Stegostoma tigrinum: one gene and its partner. The protein of the gene in region 1 interacts with the protein of each later gene in a biochemical or structural test. Links are inferred from orthologs where the notes say so. Each region holds a gene or a part of one and is shown in the gene's direction. Other genes may lie near its edges.

Region 1 (7,467 bases):
GGAATTATTTTTATCCTGGACAAAAGATGGAGGGGAAAGAGAGCTTATCACATATCATCATCCAGTCTCTGACAATATTTTTATTTTCAATGCATTCAATTTCATGGAATCATTAATTCTAGACTTTGTTTAAACATTATCTAATTGCTTCATTATATTATCATGAAGCATCATGTACAGGTAATTGGAGAATGCATGGATTAGATGAGAACTTGTGATAAATTGGCTTAAAAGTTTTAAAAAAGTATGGATTTTCAGAGACATTTGGTGGATTTAGTTTTTAAGGTAAGGGGGGAAAGAATTAAAACAGACCTAAGGCACCACTTTTTCACGCAGAGGGTGATGCGTGAATGAAATGAGCTGCCAGAGGAAGTGATGGGGGTGAGTGCGATTACAACGATTAAAAGGTATCTGAATGATGACACGAATGGGAAGAGTTTAGACGGATATGGGCCAAATGCTGGGAAATGGGACTAGATTCATTTAGGATATATGGTTATCACAGACAAGTTGGACTGTGAAGGATCTGTCTCCATGCTGTACAACTCTATGACTCTTGTACACTATTCAATATTTTCATGAGTAGAATATTTTGTTTCCTGCTCAGTTGTATTGCTCAGCAAACATTCATTACTTGTCAATGCCTGTTGAGTCAGTTGTTACAAATGATTTATTCCAAACACAACCTAAGAATTCAAAATGAAAAATTGTTAGTATTAATGAGAAGGAAATTTTTGCAATGTGTGACTATTGTCATAATGCATTTGCCCTTTTGGGTCCATGGCAAGTAGTACCCTGAACGAAAGGTCAAAGAGCATCAACCACAGCTCAACAACAGCCCAACCTCCACTTCAGAGTCCGGAGGTTCAAGTCTCATTCCATTGACCAGAATACAATCTATCCTATGAGGAGAGTTCAATGCAATACTGAGAGTGTTGAGATAACACAATGTGAAGCTAAAGGAACACCCGCAGGCCAGGCAAGAAAGTTGACAGTTCGGGTTGCGACCCTTCTTCAAAAAAAGAATGATTTTCTGAAGAAGGGTCCTGATACAAAACGTCAGCTTTCCTGTTCCTCTGGCGTAAATTTGGAATCATAAAATCCCTGTGCTGTGGGAACAAGCCACTTGGCCCAACAGGTCTACACTGCCCCTCTGAAAAGCATCCTACCCAGAACTAGTCCCCTAACCATGTATTTCCCATCTCGAACACTCCTAGCCGAAACATCCTTGGGCAGTATAGCATAGCCAATCCACCTATCATACATAATAATAAAATGTGAGGCTGGATGAACACAGCAGGCCAAGCAGCATCTCAGGAGCACAAAAGCTGACGTTTCGGGCCTAGACCCTTCATCAGAGAGGGGGATGGGGGGAGGGAACTGGAATAAATAGGGAGAGAGGGGGAGGCGGACCGAAGATGGAGAGTAAAGAAGATAGGTGGAGAGGGTGTAGGTGGGGAGGTAGGGAGGGGATAGGTCAGTCCAGGGAAGACGGACAGGTCAAGGAGGTGGGATGAGGTTAGTAGGTAGCTGGGGGTGCGGCTTGGGGTGGGAGGAAGGGATGGGTGAGAGGAAGAACCGGTTAGGGAGGCAGAGACAGGTTGGACTGGTTTTGGGATGCAGTGGGTGGGGGGGAAGAGCTGGGCTGGTTGTGTGGTGCAGTGGGGGGAGGGGATGAACTGGGCTGGTACACCTCCTCCCACCCACCCACCTGCAAATATTCCATCCCCTATTCCCAATTCCTCCGCCTCCGCCGCATCTGCTCCCACGATAAGACATTCCACTCCCGCATATCATCCCAGATGTCCAAGTTCTTTAAGGACCGCAACTTTCCCCCCACGGTGATTGAGAACGCCCTTGACCGCGTCTCCCGCATTTCCCGCGACACATCCCTCACACCCCGCCCCCGCCACAACCGCCCCAAGAGGATCCCCCTCGTTCTCACACACCACCCTACCAACCTCCGGATACAACGCATTATCCTCCGACACTTCCGCCATTTACAATCCGACCCCACCACCCAAGACATTTTTCCATCCCCTCCCCTGTCTGCTTTCCGGAGAGACCACTCTCTCCGTGACTCCCTTGTTCGCTCCACACTGCCCTCCAACCCCACCACACCCGGCACCTTCCCCTGCAACCGCAGGAAATGCTACACTTGTCCCCACACCTCCTCCCTCACCCCCATCCCAGGCCCCAAGATGACATTCCACATTAAGCAGAGGTTCACCTGCACATCTGCCAATGTGGTATACTGCATCCACTGTACCCGGTGCGGCTTTCTCTACATTGGGGAAACCAAGCGGAGGCTTGGAGACCGCTTTGCAGAACACCTCCGCTCAGTTCGCAACAAACAACTGCACCTCCCAGTCGCAAACCATTTCCACTCCCCCTCCCATTCTCTTGATGACATGTCCATCATGGGCCTCCTGCACTGCCACAATGATGCCACCCGAAGGTTGCAGGAACAGCAACTCATATTCTGCCTGGGAACCCTGCAGCCATATGGTATCAATGTGGACTTCACCAGTTTCATAATCTCCCCTTCCCCCACTGCATCCCCAAACCAGCCCAGTTCATCCCCTCCCCCCACTGCACCACACAACCAGCCCAGCTCTTCCCCCCCACCCACTGCATCCCAAAACCAGTCCAACCTGTCTCTGCCTCCCTAACCGGTTCTTCCTCTCACCCATCCCTTCCTCCCACCCCAAGCCGCACCCCCAGCTACCTACTAACCTCATCCCACCTCCTTGACCTGTCCGTCTTCCCTGGACTGACCTATCCCCTCCCTACCTCCCCACCTACACCCTCTCCACCTATCTTCTTTACTCTCCATCTTCGGTCCGCCTCCCCCTCTCTCCCTATTTATTCCAGTTCCCTCCCCCCATCCCCCTCTCTGATGAAGGGTCTAGGCCCGAAACGTCAGCTTTTGTGCTCCTGAGATGCTGCTTGGCCTGCTGTGTTCATCCAGCCTCACATTTTATTATCTTGGAATCTCCAGCATCTGCAGTTCCCATTATCTCTCCCCACCTATCATACACATCCTTCAGCTGTGGGAGGAAACCCACGTAGACGCGGACAGTCGCCCGAGGCTGGAATCGATCCTCGCGTCCCTGGCGTTGTGAGGCAACAGTACCAACCACCGAGCCACCGTCCATTTAGAAATTCACATATTCGTTAAACAGCCCTTTTCTGCTTTTGGTGGGTTAGTGTGCAATAGTGTCTGCATAATCTAATATAAATATTAGCTAGAAAGTTTTAAGTCGACAAAACCTAGTAGCAGAATTCTTCAGAAGGATCCTGACCCGGCTTTCCTGCTCCTCTGCTGCTGCCTGGTCTGCCGTGTTCCTCCAGCTGCATACTGTGTTATCTGTGACTCCAGCATCGGCTGTTCTTACTGTCTCTGACTGTGAGAGTGTTGCCCTGCCAAAAGTGCTGAGATGTTAAAAGTTGGCTGGTCTTGCCCTTTCAGATGGATGTAAACGATCTGAGGGGGCTACTTTGAGGTGTAGGATTTCTCTCCACTGTCCGTCTTGTCATCAAAACAGACTAATTGTCCTCCAACGAATTGGTGCTTGTGGGATCTTACTATGCGTAGTTTGGTTGTTGGATCTCTCTCCTTACATTATTAACCACAGTTCCAATGTGCTCTTTTACCTGTAAAGCGTTTTTAGGTCATGAAAGGTGTGATATAATTGCAAGCTTTTTGTTCTTTTTCTGATTGTTAGCAATGATCGCAATTCCCGTGGCGTCGACGTGATTATCGACACAGCATTAAGGGCTCGGGATTTTGGCTCAAATATTAAAGGCTTTAGATACTGGATAGAAAAACAGAAAGTGCTGGAAAAGCTCAGCAGGTCTGACAGCACCTGTGGAGAGAAATCAGAGTTCACGTTTCGGCTGTTCAGTGAAGGTCACTGGACCCGAAACGTTAACTCTGCTTTCTCCCAACAGATGCTGCCAGACCTGCTGAGCTTTTCCAGCACTTTCTGTTCTATCTTCTGGCTTCCAGCATCCGCAGTTCTTTCGGTTTTTCGATGCTGAATGAAACATTATCCTAGTTTTTAGTATTTCAGTGATCGCGATGAGAAAAGACAAAACGATGGTCAAACAGGAATAAAGGGTGGGAGAGCAACAATGGTAAAACGGTGAAATGAAACTGAAAGGGAGAAAGTTGTAAGTCGTGTGCATAAAAATGAGACATGAGTAAAGGGTAACCAAAGCACTAGGAGAATATGACCAAAAAGTGGATGCAGAAAGGATAAATCAGACCAAGACACAAAGAGAACAGGCGCTATATTGTCTATCGCTTTCCCAATGTCCAGAATTGTACTGGATTTCATCTCCTACAGCCACGAGTGGAGCTGTTTGCTTTAATTCCGTGGATCGAAAAAAAAAGGTGGCTTCTGCTGTGAAGCGTTTCCGGAGCAACACTCCCCAATTGCAGCACCAACAACTTCCCACCCCCAGCCACCCTCCTCCACCCCAAACACACCCACCCAGAGCAAACCCCCCCGCAAATCGGATTGAACAGATCCGCGAGCCGGGCACCAGAGGAGTTTTCCGTGACGTGCCCATTCTCCCCGGTTCACTCCCAGCCCTTGCCTGGGGGAACCAAGCGAGACATCAACCATTTCCAAGTGCGGATTGTAGGGGAATCTGCTGCTTCTCGGCTGTCACCGGCTTGGGCAGGAGGTCTGTTCGCTCTCACCGTTCCTCCTCCCTCCTCACCTTCCAGGCTGGCGCTGGGTTCGTGAAGCCACATCTAACCTTTCGGTGTTTTCAATGAGCGTCTCAGAGGAGAGGAGGGGAGACACGTGTACGGAGCAGCTGTAGGTGCAGAGGCGGAAGGTAAGTGACCCATTGTGCAGTCGGTGAATGAAACTCCACCAGATCCCACCGTGGCCTGGGGGGGGCGGGTTAGCTCGGCTGGACAGGAAACAGGAGCCGGGCACAGCTCGGTCTTTAATAAATCGTAAGGAATTCCACCCCCACCCCCTTTCTCTACTTGATTTCTCTTTCTAAGTCGAGACAAACAAACCCCCTGTCCACCCCCTCCCCTTTTTATTTTGATTTACTAGCAAGCGGAAGTCTCTGACCCTCTCTCTTATGCCTGTGCTGTAAAGTTTGGTTCGCCCCTTGCATATTAACTGTCCTTTCACTGCGTCGGAATGTCGTTCGACCGAAAACGAAAGAGGCCAGGCCAACATCTCTTACTGTGCAAGTTCCCCTTGCCCCTGGCTGAGTGAAACCCCAGTTTTTCTCACGTCAAATAGTCAGCCGTTTACAATCAATAGCCAGTTCATGAAAGGTGACTGGAAAGCAGATGCTGCACAGCCAGATATTGGGAGGAAACCCTTTCAATACCCACAACTGCAAACTTTCAAATCTTCCTTAATATTCTTGTATCTTTTTAGTTAATATTGATTTGGAGGTTGTTTATTTTTCCAATAACTGAAGATGTCCTAATTGCAATATTGACTTAATATGGTATTTAGCATTGCTAACAGTAGCATTACGAGACATGCAGTGTAGTTTGCCGGAGCGGGCAAATTATTGTCCTGATCCGTATGAACATGATGCGCGGTTTCGTGCTGGAAATGTACATTTTCACCGTCTAAAGCAGCTCTCCGACGTCCACGGCCGGGCACTCCCAGTATCCCAGCGCTACGGGATATGCCCAATGTGTACAGCAACAAAGATAAACCAATCCACCTCAGTGATTCATTCTTCATAACTGCATCAAAAAGAAATTGTGTAAATAGTATGAAAACACCGACTAAATTGAAGGGTTGAAGTCCGTCATCCGGTGAAGCCAGACAGGAATGTGCTGGCTTTATTGAAGTGGTATCCCTGGACGATGTTTGACACCTTGTTAGGCCGATCCCATTTACTCAGTGCAGCTGGAGCTGTAGTTCTCAGCTTGGGGTTCCTGCAGTGCCAGTTTATCATTTTCTTGAAGAAAAGAGCATTTGTAACCAATGTATATTTTATTATACAATGTTATTATTGGTGTGTTTATGTATGTTGCATAACAAGACAGAACCTTTCAGGTTTTTGTCCTGGTGTTTCCTTTCTTTGGGTAGTTGATTTGGTTTTGTAAAATGTCAAGCGAAAAATCAGTCTCTCCTTTTATTGACACACCTTGTATGCACATTCCTGATGAACTGAAGACCAAAATGCACACGGTGTTCTTTGATTGAGCATTAGTAATCAGTGAAAAGAAAAGCTTGCATTTGTGTAGCAGTTTTGAGGAGCACTGGACATTGCAAAATATGTTACTGCCAGTAAGTTACTTTCAAAATTAGTGACTGTAGTAATGCAACAATCAATACAGAACAGCAAACTCTCACAAACAGTAACATGAAAGTGACCAAATATGTTTTTGTGATGTTGACTGGGGGTAAATATCAATCAAAACATCAAGGGTATTCCCCTAAAAAAAAACTGAAAGAACTGAGAATGCTGGAAATCAGAAACAAAAAGAGAAATTGCTGGAAAAACTCAGCAGGTCTAGCAGTGTCTGTGGAGATTGATTGATCTATAGTTGTCACGTACAGATATACAGTGAAAAATGTTTTTCTGCAAGCTATACAGGCAGATCGTATCACACAAAGTGTATGAGGGTAGCAGAACAGAGTGCAGAACACAGTGTTGCAGCTCAGAGAAGGTGTGAAGAGAGAGATTAGAATTAATGTTTGAAAGGTCCATTCAGAATTCTGATAACAGCAGGGAAGAAGCTGTCCTTGAACTTATTTGTACAAGTATTTAAACTTTTATATCTTTTGCCTGACGTAAGAGGGTAGAAGGGAGTATGTCCGAGGTGGCAGGGGTCTTTGATTATGTTGGTTGCTTTCCTGAGGCAGCCGGAAGTGTAGATGGAGTCTTTGGAGAGAAAACTGGTTTGTGTGATGGACTGGGTTGTGTTCATGACGCTGTAGTTTCTTGTGTTCTTGGGAAGAGCAATTGCCGTACCATTCTCTGGTGTACCCAAACAGGATGCTTTCTGTGGTGATCTATAAACATTGATAAGAGTCCCTGTGGATGTGCTGAATTTCCTTAGCCTCCTGAGAAATTGGAGATATTGTTGTGTTTTCTTGTGTCATGTCGATGTGGGTGAACCAGGATAGGTGGTTTGTGACCATCACTCCCAGGAGCTTGACACTCTCGAAAAAGCTTTAGAGTTGATGTTTCAGGTCCAGTGACCCTTCTTTAGAATGAAATAACTCTTCTTCAAAATGGTGCCATGGGACCTTTAACATCCTCATGAGCAGGGAGATGGGATCTTGGTTTAAGATACATTTGAAAGACTTGGTTCTTTTATTTTTGAACTGCCGTGCTAGATGCTGAATGATTTTGGCTGTCATTTTGTTTATGGGCGTCTTCCATGAACTACTGGAATCAAAAACACTTCTAAAATGTATTTTTATTAAACAAGATCTTTTTGGTCTGCCTCAACTTCTTTAA
Region 2 (7,960 bases), on another chromosome or scaffold:
GATAAGGGGAACTCTCTCGCTGTTGCAGGAGGGAAGAGAAGGGGTGAGGGCATAAGTGCGGGAGATGGGTCGGACCCGTTTGAGGGCCCTGTCGACAACGGAGCTGGGGAATCCTCGGTTGAAGAAGAATTTGGACATTTCGGAGGCTCCCTGGTTGAAGGTGGCCTCATCTAAGCATATGCGATGGAAACTTGCTGACTCCCACAGCTACCTGGACTATACATCCTCACACCCCACTTCCTGTAAAGACTCCATCCCATTCTCTCAGTTCTTCCGTTACCACATAGCCTGCCACTACACACCCCCTGTTGTTAGTCACTAACAGTCCCCATTAATGACTACTCACCCTCCCAGCATGAACTTAGCAACTCCTTTGTCTGTCCAACTGTATTTATCTCTCTTTGGGCTCTACTCTATCGTTTACTCCCTACCCCACCCACCTCCCTATTTTCTGCATATAAACTGACGTTTTCCCGGCCACGATCCATTCTGAGGAAGGGTCACGAACCTGAAACGTTAACTCTGTTTTCTCCTTCACAGATGCTGCCAGACCTGCTGAGCTTTTCTGCAACTTTGTTTTGTAAAGGGACTTATTGTTGCAGTGTTCATGGTCACAATGTTCATGTTTTCACACATATCCATAAATTCACCACTCACAAATGGTCAGCTCAAATTAGTCAGTTTCCCTAGTCTGGACTGTTTCTATTTTTCCATTTCCTTGCCCAGTATTACTCTTTTCTTTTCACCATATGTTAATATAGACTTGGCTAAATTTAGACACCACATCTATGAAGCGCAAAATGTTTTATTTTGAATCCACTGCATCAGAGTCTAATATTAAATTTTTGAAATGTATATTGCTAAAATGAGATTCACTGTGGGTCATGATGATGTCCTCCTATTCTTTTCACATATGTTACATTTACCTCTGATCACCTTCAAATTTTTAGTGTATTCATTCTTTACTTGCATTTTTAATCAATGAGAAAATGGATGCCAATGAAATTTTAAGGAAACTAGCATTTTCTCCTTTAAACTTCTTTCAGTTGATACCAATCGCACCTGTTTAACATTTTGATTAGAGGAGATAGTCTTGATTAATGGAATACAATAATGGCTGGATTTTGTACACTGTAAATCAACTGAGTTTATAAAAACAAATGCTATGAATGCCTCGTATGCATTTAACAGATACTTTTTCTTTTATAATTCTTGTCCTTAAAGGTCTATAAATGATCAAAACCTTCATCAGTGTCTATTTCTAAACATTTGCAACCGAGCCTGTTTTTAATGGGAAGTATCAGTGCCAAAACCAGATGTAATTTTCCCTTTGGTAAGATTGTAACAGTTATATGTATCTCTACTTACATGTTTTCATGATGTAAGTTTGAGTTTCACAGAACTTAGGTAATAATTCAGAGGCCCGAGTTGATCTGGGAATGTGGGTTTAAATTTTACACACAACATGCGCTGACATTAAAATTCAAATGGTTAAAAAATCTAAAATTGGAAGTTTGTCTCAGTTGCTGTCATTTATGAAGCTATCATAAATTTTCATAAAAACCCCATCTGAGGGTCTTATGACCTGTGGTAGTGCCCATATCTCTGGACCAGAAGATCTTAGTTCTAGTTCTACCTGTTCTGGAGGTGAGTTATAACATGTCCATGGAGGTTGATTGAAAAACTTTTATGGTTTGTCTGTCTCCACTTATATGGTCTGGCCTGTGATGGTACCAGACCCACAATAATGTGCTTGTGTCTGAGCTACTCACTGAAATTACCTAGCAAGCCAATCTGTCGTACCAGACTGCAACATGAGCTATGCAACATAGGCATAAAGAATCATAAGTGTGGTGCTTTGTGACCATATTCCAGTCAGTATCAGTCAGTTCTGTCAGTAAAGGAGAGATGAAAAAAATGCTTCTATAATAACTGTACCAGTAAGTGTTTAAAAATGTATTCAGAAGCCTGCTAACTGCCAGTAGGCAGACAATATCAGACGAGTTCACTACAGCTAAACAGTTAAGTTTCGTAATTGTGATTGTTCATTCTAAACTCTGAACCATTTTATATCATATTGTTAAGGTCTCCTGTGACTAACCTAAAACGTAACTACTGATTATACACTGAGGCAGAAATGTCTGTATGCATGCACCCACTAAATTCTTCCAGAGAAGCATTAGCCCCAGTGGGTACTCTAATGATGCAACTGGATCTGGAATTCCAGGAAACTCAAGGATCATAGCCAGCTGTATTTACTAGCAAACACAGCACTAAAAACAAATTGCATCCATGCTGCACCTAAAGAATACTAAAAAGGTCCCAAGATTAAACATTAGAATTGCCAAAAGAAAATATGACAATGAGCCAAAGAAGGCTAAAGGAAACAAATCATAATATCAGAGATAGCAAGAACTGCAGATGGAGTCAGAGACAACAGTGTGGAGCTGGAGGAACACAGCAGGCCAGGCAGCATCAGAGGAGCAGGAAAGTTGACATTTCCGGTTGGGACCCTTCTGCAGAAATGAGGAGGGGGGAGGGAGCTGGGAAATAAATAGGAGGGGTGGGGCTGGGGAAAGTAGATAGGATAGTGATAGTTGAGTAGGGAGTGGTGGGGATTGGTCAGTGAGGTAGGAGAGATGGATAGGTGGAAGAGAAGATGGACAGGTTATGTCAGGTCAAGGGGATAAGATGGAGAGTTGGACTTTGAATGAGGCCGGGTGTGGGGAGATTTTAAAAATGGTGAATTCCATGTTTAGACCATTGGGCTGTAGGCTCCTGAGGCAGAATATGAGGTGTTGCTCTTCCAGTTTGCGGGTGGTGTCATTGTGACGCTGGAAGAGACCCAGGATTGACATGTCCCCAAGGAAGTGGGAGGGTGAGTTAAAATGGTTGCCAACCGTAAGGTATTGACGTTTGTCACGTACAAAACGCGGATGCTCTACGAGATGGTCTCTGAGCCTATGCTTGGTCTCACTGATGTACAGGAGCCCAATCGGGAGCAGCGCATACAGTAGACCAAGTTGAAGGGTGTGCAGGTGAACCACTGTCTGATATGAAAGGTTTGTTTTGGGCCTTGAATGGAGGTGAAGGGGGAGATATGGGGACAGATATAGTACTTGCTGCGGTTGAAGGGAAAAGTGCAGTGGGTGGTGGGGCTAGTGGGAAGTGTAGATTGGATGAGAGAGTCACTGAGAGAGTGGTCCATACGAAAGGTAGATAAGGTGGGAAGGGACACATATCTTGGGTTGTGGGGTTAGATTGTAGGTGGTGGAAATGATGGAGAATGATACTTTGGAGGTTGGTGGGGTGATATGTGAGGACAAGGGAGATTCTGTCTTTAGTTTTTTTGAGGGTGCCTATCACCATCCCACCTACCTTCCCCAGCCTCACCTCTCCACTCAATTTATTTCCTAGCTCCCTTCCCCCTCTCTGTTTCTGAAGAAGGGCCCTGACCCGAAACGTCAACTTTCCTTCTCCACTGATGCTGTCTGGCCTCATAATCTCAAGAGTTGATTTTAATTTTCTATTCAAATTCTGGAAGTTTGGAAAACATGGCAATTGTCAGGAGAAGTCTGACAGAGGTCTGTTGATTGATCTAATCTCTTTCATTGTTGACAGTCCTGCTGTGTTCTGACAATATATCCTGTTTTTATTGTACTATAAGCTACATTTGTGATGAAATATTCCTGCCTGCGGGGAATTTTGAGTGGGTTAATTTACTGGAACAGACGATATTAAGAACTTAATGCAAATATTGCCTCATTGGCTGCTGCAGGAGATTTAAATAACACATAACAACAAATCTCCCCCACAACAATAACCTGTTATTTTGTATCCGAACGTACTAACCTACAGTCCCGGTAAAATGTCCATCTAGCATTGCAAAAATAGACGTATTTATTATTTTTGAGCACTGGATGATAAGGTGTTTAAGAGAAGGATGAACTTCTAAATTCAGCTTGGATTGAGCAAATCACGAAATTGCAATAATTACGAATGGTAGGTATCTTCGCCGTTCCGATATGAGAATGAAATAGTGGGGGCGGGGTGATGCAAAAAGTTTCAACTTCACGAAAGGTCATTGATGACAAACGCGAATTTCTACTTGCCAACAAATGTTGGCTAGCCTCCTAAGCATTTCGTGCACATTTCTCTGATAATTTCTGATTTTCCTTTGCTTTAATGGAAATGCATGGGTACAAAGACAGGTATAGACCTGTTTGCAGATTTTATCCTCACTGCTGCGTATCACAAAAAAACCTTTCTTTGCTTATAAGGGATCATCAGCAATTTTCACATCCTGAGCAAGGACCACCGAACCCGCATGTTAACTAATTTCTCTCCACAGATGTTGCCAGACCTGCTGAGATTTACGAGCAATTTGTTTTTTTTATTTCCCATCCTGGGTCCTAACTTAGCAGTGTAATAATTCTATTCATGCAAAGGAAATTGAGACAATATTGTTAGTTTTAGTTTCAAAAGCCCATTATAATTTCAGCAATCATAATGTAGTTTTTCAAAGTGATGAGAAATATGCAAAATATTGCATTAAACCACAAGCAATTGCCTGCTTTCCTTTTTTTAAGCGTGGAGGGGAAATAAAAGGTTTAGTCATTTGATTGACAGCAAAACTCCCATCAATTTGGGCTCTGGCACTGGCTCGCAAATGTGAAGACGTCATCGCTGCCAGGAACTCAGATGACTTCGCAGCGCCGGCTGTTCCACGGAGCGCTCTATCCTCCCACCGATCAGCGCTTCCGGTGCCACGCGATTCTACAGGCGCGTGCGTGAATCCGGAGGGAGGGAGGCAGCGGGCGGCACTGCCGTGCGGGGGGCGTGGTACACCTCAACAGAACTTGCCGCCCCCTTCCTCGCTCCGATTGGTCGAAACCAAGCGGGAGGCGGGATGTCCCAGGAAACAGGCCGTCCGTTGATTCGTCGAGCAGGCTGTCATTCGTGGTCAGCACCGTCGGTTGTAGAGCTCCTGAAGGAGGGGGAGGGGATCACTTTTTAAAAAAAATCTTTTCGGCCGAAGTGCGTCAAGAAAAATCATCGAATCGACAGGTTTTTTTTGACATTGTATTTGAAGTAAAAAGTGGATCAAAGATCGCCGTGTTCGTGGCGTTGACGGAATTAAGAATGTCCCAGCCGTAGGTCGTGGTGTCAGAAAGTTGGGGTTGTCAGTCTGGAAACTTTTATTGCCGCAGGTACAGTATGTCTTGTATTCCTTTTTATTTGTAGCAGGCCTAGACACCCCGTCAACAAAATGCCAAGCTGAAACTTGCAGCAAGTCTTGAGTTACCAAGTAATTTAACAGGTGGAAATAAAACGAAGCATTTTGACAAGAGGGGGTTTGGGCCCGAAATGTTGACTTTCCTGCTTGTCTGATGCTGTTTGACGTGCTGTGTTTTCCCAGCCTCACACCAAGAGACAAAAGGCACAGTGACAGATGAAATCCTGTGGATTTTTGTCTCCCAGGCTGCTGAATCTTATCCACAATCAGTGTGACACAGGGATGTGGCAGTTACTGATTTCCAAATGGATCATGTATTGAAAGCATACAAGGCTTTTGGGCTTCTGTATTAAGTCTTTTAGAAGAGCAGTCTGTTCCGAGGGAAATGGATTGTTAACGCCTGACTCGTCTTTCTCCACCGCGCTTCCCCCCCCCCCCCCCCCCCAAAAAGGCACAAAATGTAGGAGATAGCACTTATTAACTGAGCTGTTGTTCTTCAGCGGCCGCTAACAGGAAGTGGGATGGCTGTGTTAAAGGGAAGAGTTCTGGACGCATGATTAATGTATTTATCAGTTTCTGTTGAAGGTTTAGTGCTCAACTAGCATTTTGTCACAGAATAGTGCATTTACTTTACATTTGCACGCAATAAGTACAATGTAGCAGCAATTAATCTTTGCAAATATTGTATGTTGGCTTGTAACCCTTTAACAAAGGATTATTTATGGAAACTGCGTTGTGCCATGTTTTAAATCCAAACTTGACAGTAGACCATTCTATTTACTTATGCAATTTTGATTCGGCATGTGGAGTTTTTTTTGCATTTCCATGTTGTTGATTAGCTACATCTAATTTGAATGAAACGTTAACCAGATTTAATCACAATCGATGTGGTTTATCATTGAAAAGTTTTACATAAAGGAAATAAACAAGTAAATCTGGAGATGCCTTATGACAAGGGTGGGCTGTTTGCTGACAGTGTGATGAAACAGTTCTTAACTGGGGAGACATGATGCATGCTGTTTATTGGTTGAACTGCAATGTTTTTACATTTAATTTGTTGAACTTAGATTTTCCCAAATCATTATGTATATTCAAAACAATACTAAAATGGTGGAGAACTCTGGTAACCCTATGTCTTCCCCATGATGCAGTCAGTAGCTATTTTAATTTTGGGTATTTCAATACCTGTTCTGTATTGCAATGTGGAACCAACTCTGCCACTTGTGGTTATAATAAACGATTGAACATTATTTCAGGTTTGATCATTTTGACACAAGACAATGCTGCTAGGGTTTGTTTCAGTTCTCAGCAAAATCACAATATTACTCACTTACTGATGTTTTAGTTTCTATTAGTGATACAACAAGTGCCAGACAACTCTACATGTTAGCCTCTCATAACCCTGTAAATGGATTGTTCCAAAGTCAATGCTGTGTTTGGCATCAGGAATTTTTAATTCCTGGAATATTAAGTGAAAATTCATTTTGTTTTTGAGAATGGAGAAAATATTGGCCCAGATCAAGTTAAATCTGGTGCTGTATTCAGTTGGACTAAACAATACCTTTTAAAGATAACATAATGCTTCAAATCGTATCAACAATTATTTATGAAAATGTCATGCATATTTTGTTTTTCTTGAGTCATCATTTCTTTCTGCGCACAACATACATTTTTGGGGGAAAAAAATCAGGAACACATTTTCCCTGCCTTTTAACTTTGAATTTATGTTGTCTTACTCCAGTAATTGACTCCTTTTCTGTTTTCTCTCCCTTTGATCACTTTTCTGCCGAGTGATTTTGTGACTATTCTTTATTCATTATGTTTTTAAAATTTATCCACTTACGTTGTTCACTATCAGTTCGTTATATATCTGAGTTATTTCTTTCTGCCTTTCAGTGTTAAACTGTGGTAAAGCTGCATCGAAAAAATAGAAAAATTCTGCATGTCAGCTGAAACAATCAGGTAAACTAATGTACTTTATTACTGTACCATCCCATCATGGATGTTTTTCTCAGTTCCTAGCGCTAAATATTACAAATGGCTTCAAAGTTATGTCTCTTTTAAGATGCATTAAGATTATTACTAAAAACATCATGAATTGTGTACTTTTTATATTGTAAATTTAAGAATTTGGAAAATAGTTTTGTTTGAAAGGAGGAAGTACAGTTCATAATTGTGAATTTTAAGACTGTTATGTGGGCAATCCTGGCTGAATGTAACTTCAGTTTTCCCAGATTTTAAAGCTGAATTTTAAGTAAACTGATTTTGAAACCAGAAGCAGAAGATGTAATATTTTAATTGCTTTACAAGAATGAGGAAGGATACTGCATTTTAGAGGTTATGCATTGATAGTGATTTGAAAGACCAAACTTGTTACAGTACCTTGTGAAGAGGAACATCATTGTATTTTCCAGTTCTTTAGAAAGGGGAAAAATAATTTTCTTGGTCAAATGTTTATTTTCTTACTCGTAACATCAATTGTAGTGAGATACATCACCTGAGCATAGTTTAAAAGCTGCAACTGTTTCAAAATACATAAAAAGTTGTGCATATGAAGGCTTGTTTGTTTCAAAATATCGTGATGGAAGTCTTTTTCATATGTAAATTCAAATTATTTTAGAACTTGGATTTTGAAACAAGTGGAAAGCTGGAACTGTGAATTTAAAAACAAATCAGTGTGAGAGAGTTCCTGGAGTGCAAATGAGAATTTGTTTGCATTGAGAG

The links. The genes of interacting proteins can lie anywhere in the genome.
Region 2: the proteins of proto-oncogene tyrosine-protein kinase Src-like (region 1) and stat3 form a complex in vitro, tested with the Homo sapiens proteins (3 studies listed by BioGRID). The link is inferred for Stegostoma tigrinum from reciprocal best matches to the Homo sapiens genes SRC and STAT3.

Annotation. Positions count from the first base shown.
Region 1 is NC_081372.1:20,567,362-20,574,828, reverse strand, and holds the start of proto-oncogene tyrosine-protein kinase Src-like, read left to right. Parts: upstream 1-4,467; 5' UTR 4,468-4,851; intron 4,852-7,467. UniProt on the Homo sapiens protein: Non-receptor protein tyrosine kinase which is activated following engagement of many different classes of cellular receptors including immune response receptors, integrins and other adhesion receptors, receptor protein tyrosine kinases, G protein-coupled receptors as well as cytokine receptors.
Region 2 is NC_081384.1:14,624,662-14,632,621, reverse strand, and holds the start of stat3 (signal transducer and activator of transcription 3), read left to right. Parts: upstream 1-4,954; 5' UTR 4,955-5,210; intron 5,211-7,132; 5' UTR 7,133-7,198; intron 7,199-7,960. UniProt on the Homo sapiens protein: Signal transducer and transcription activator that mediates cellular responses to interleukins, KITLG/SCF, LEP and other growth factors. Once activated, recruits coactivators, such as NCOA1 or MED1, to the promoter region of the target gene.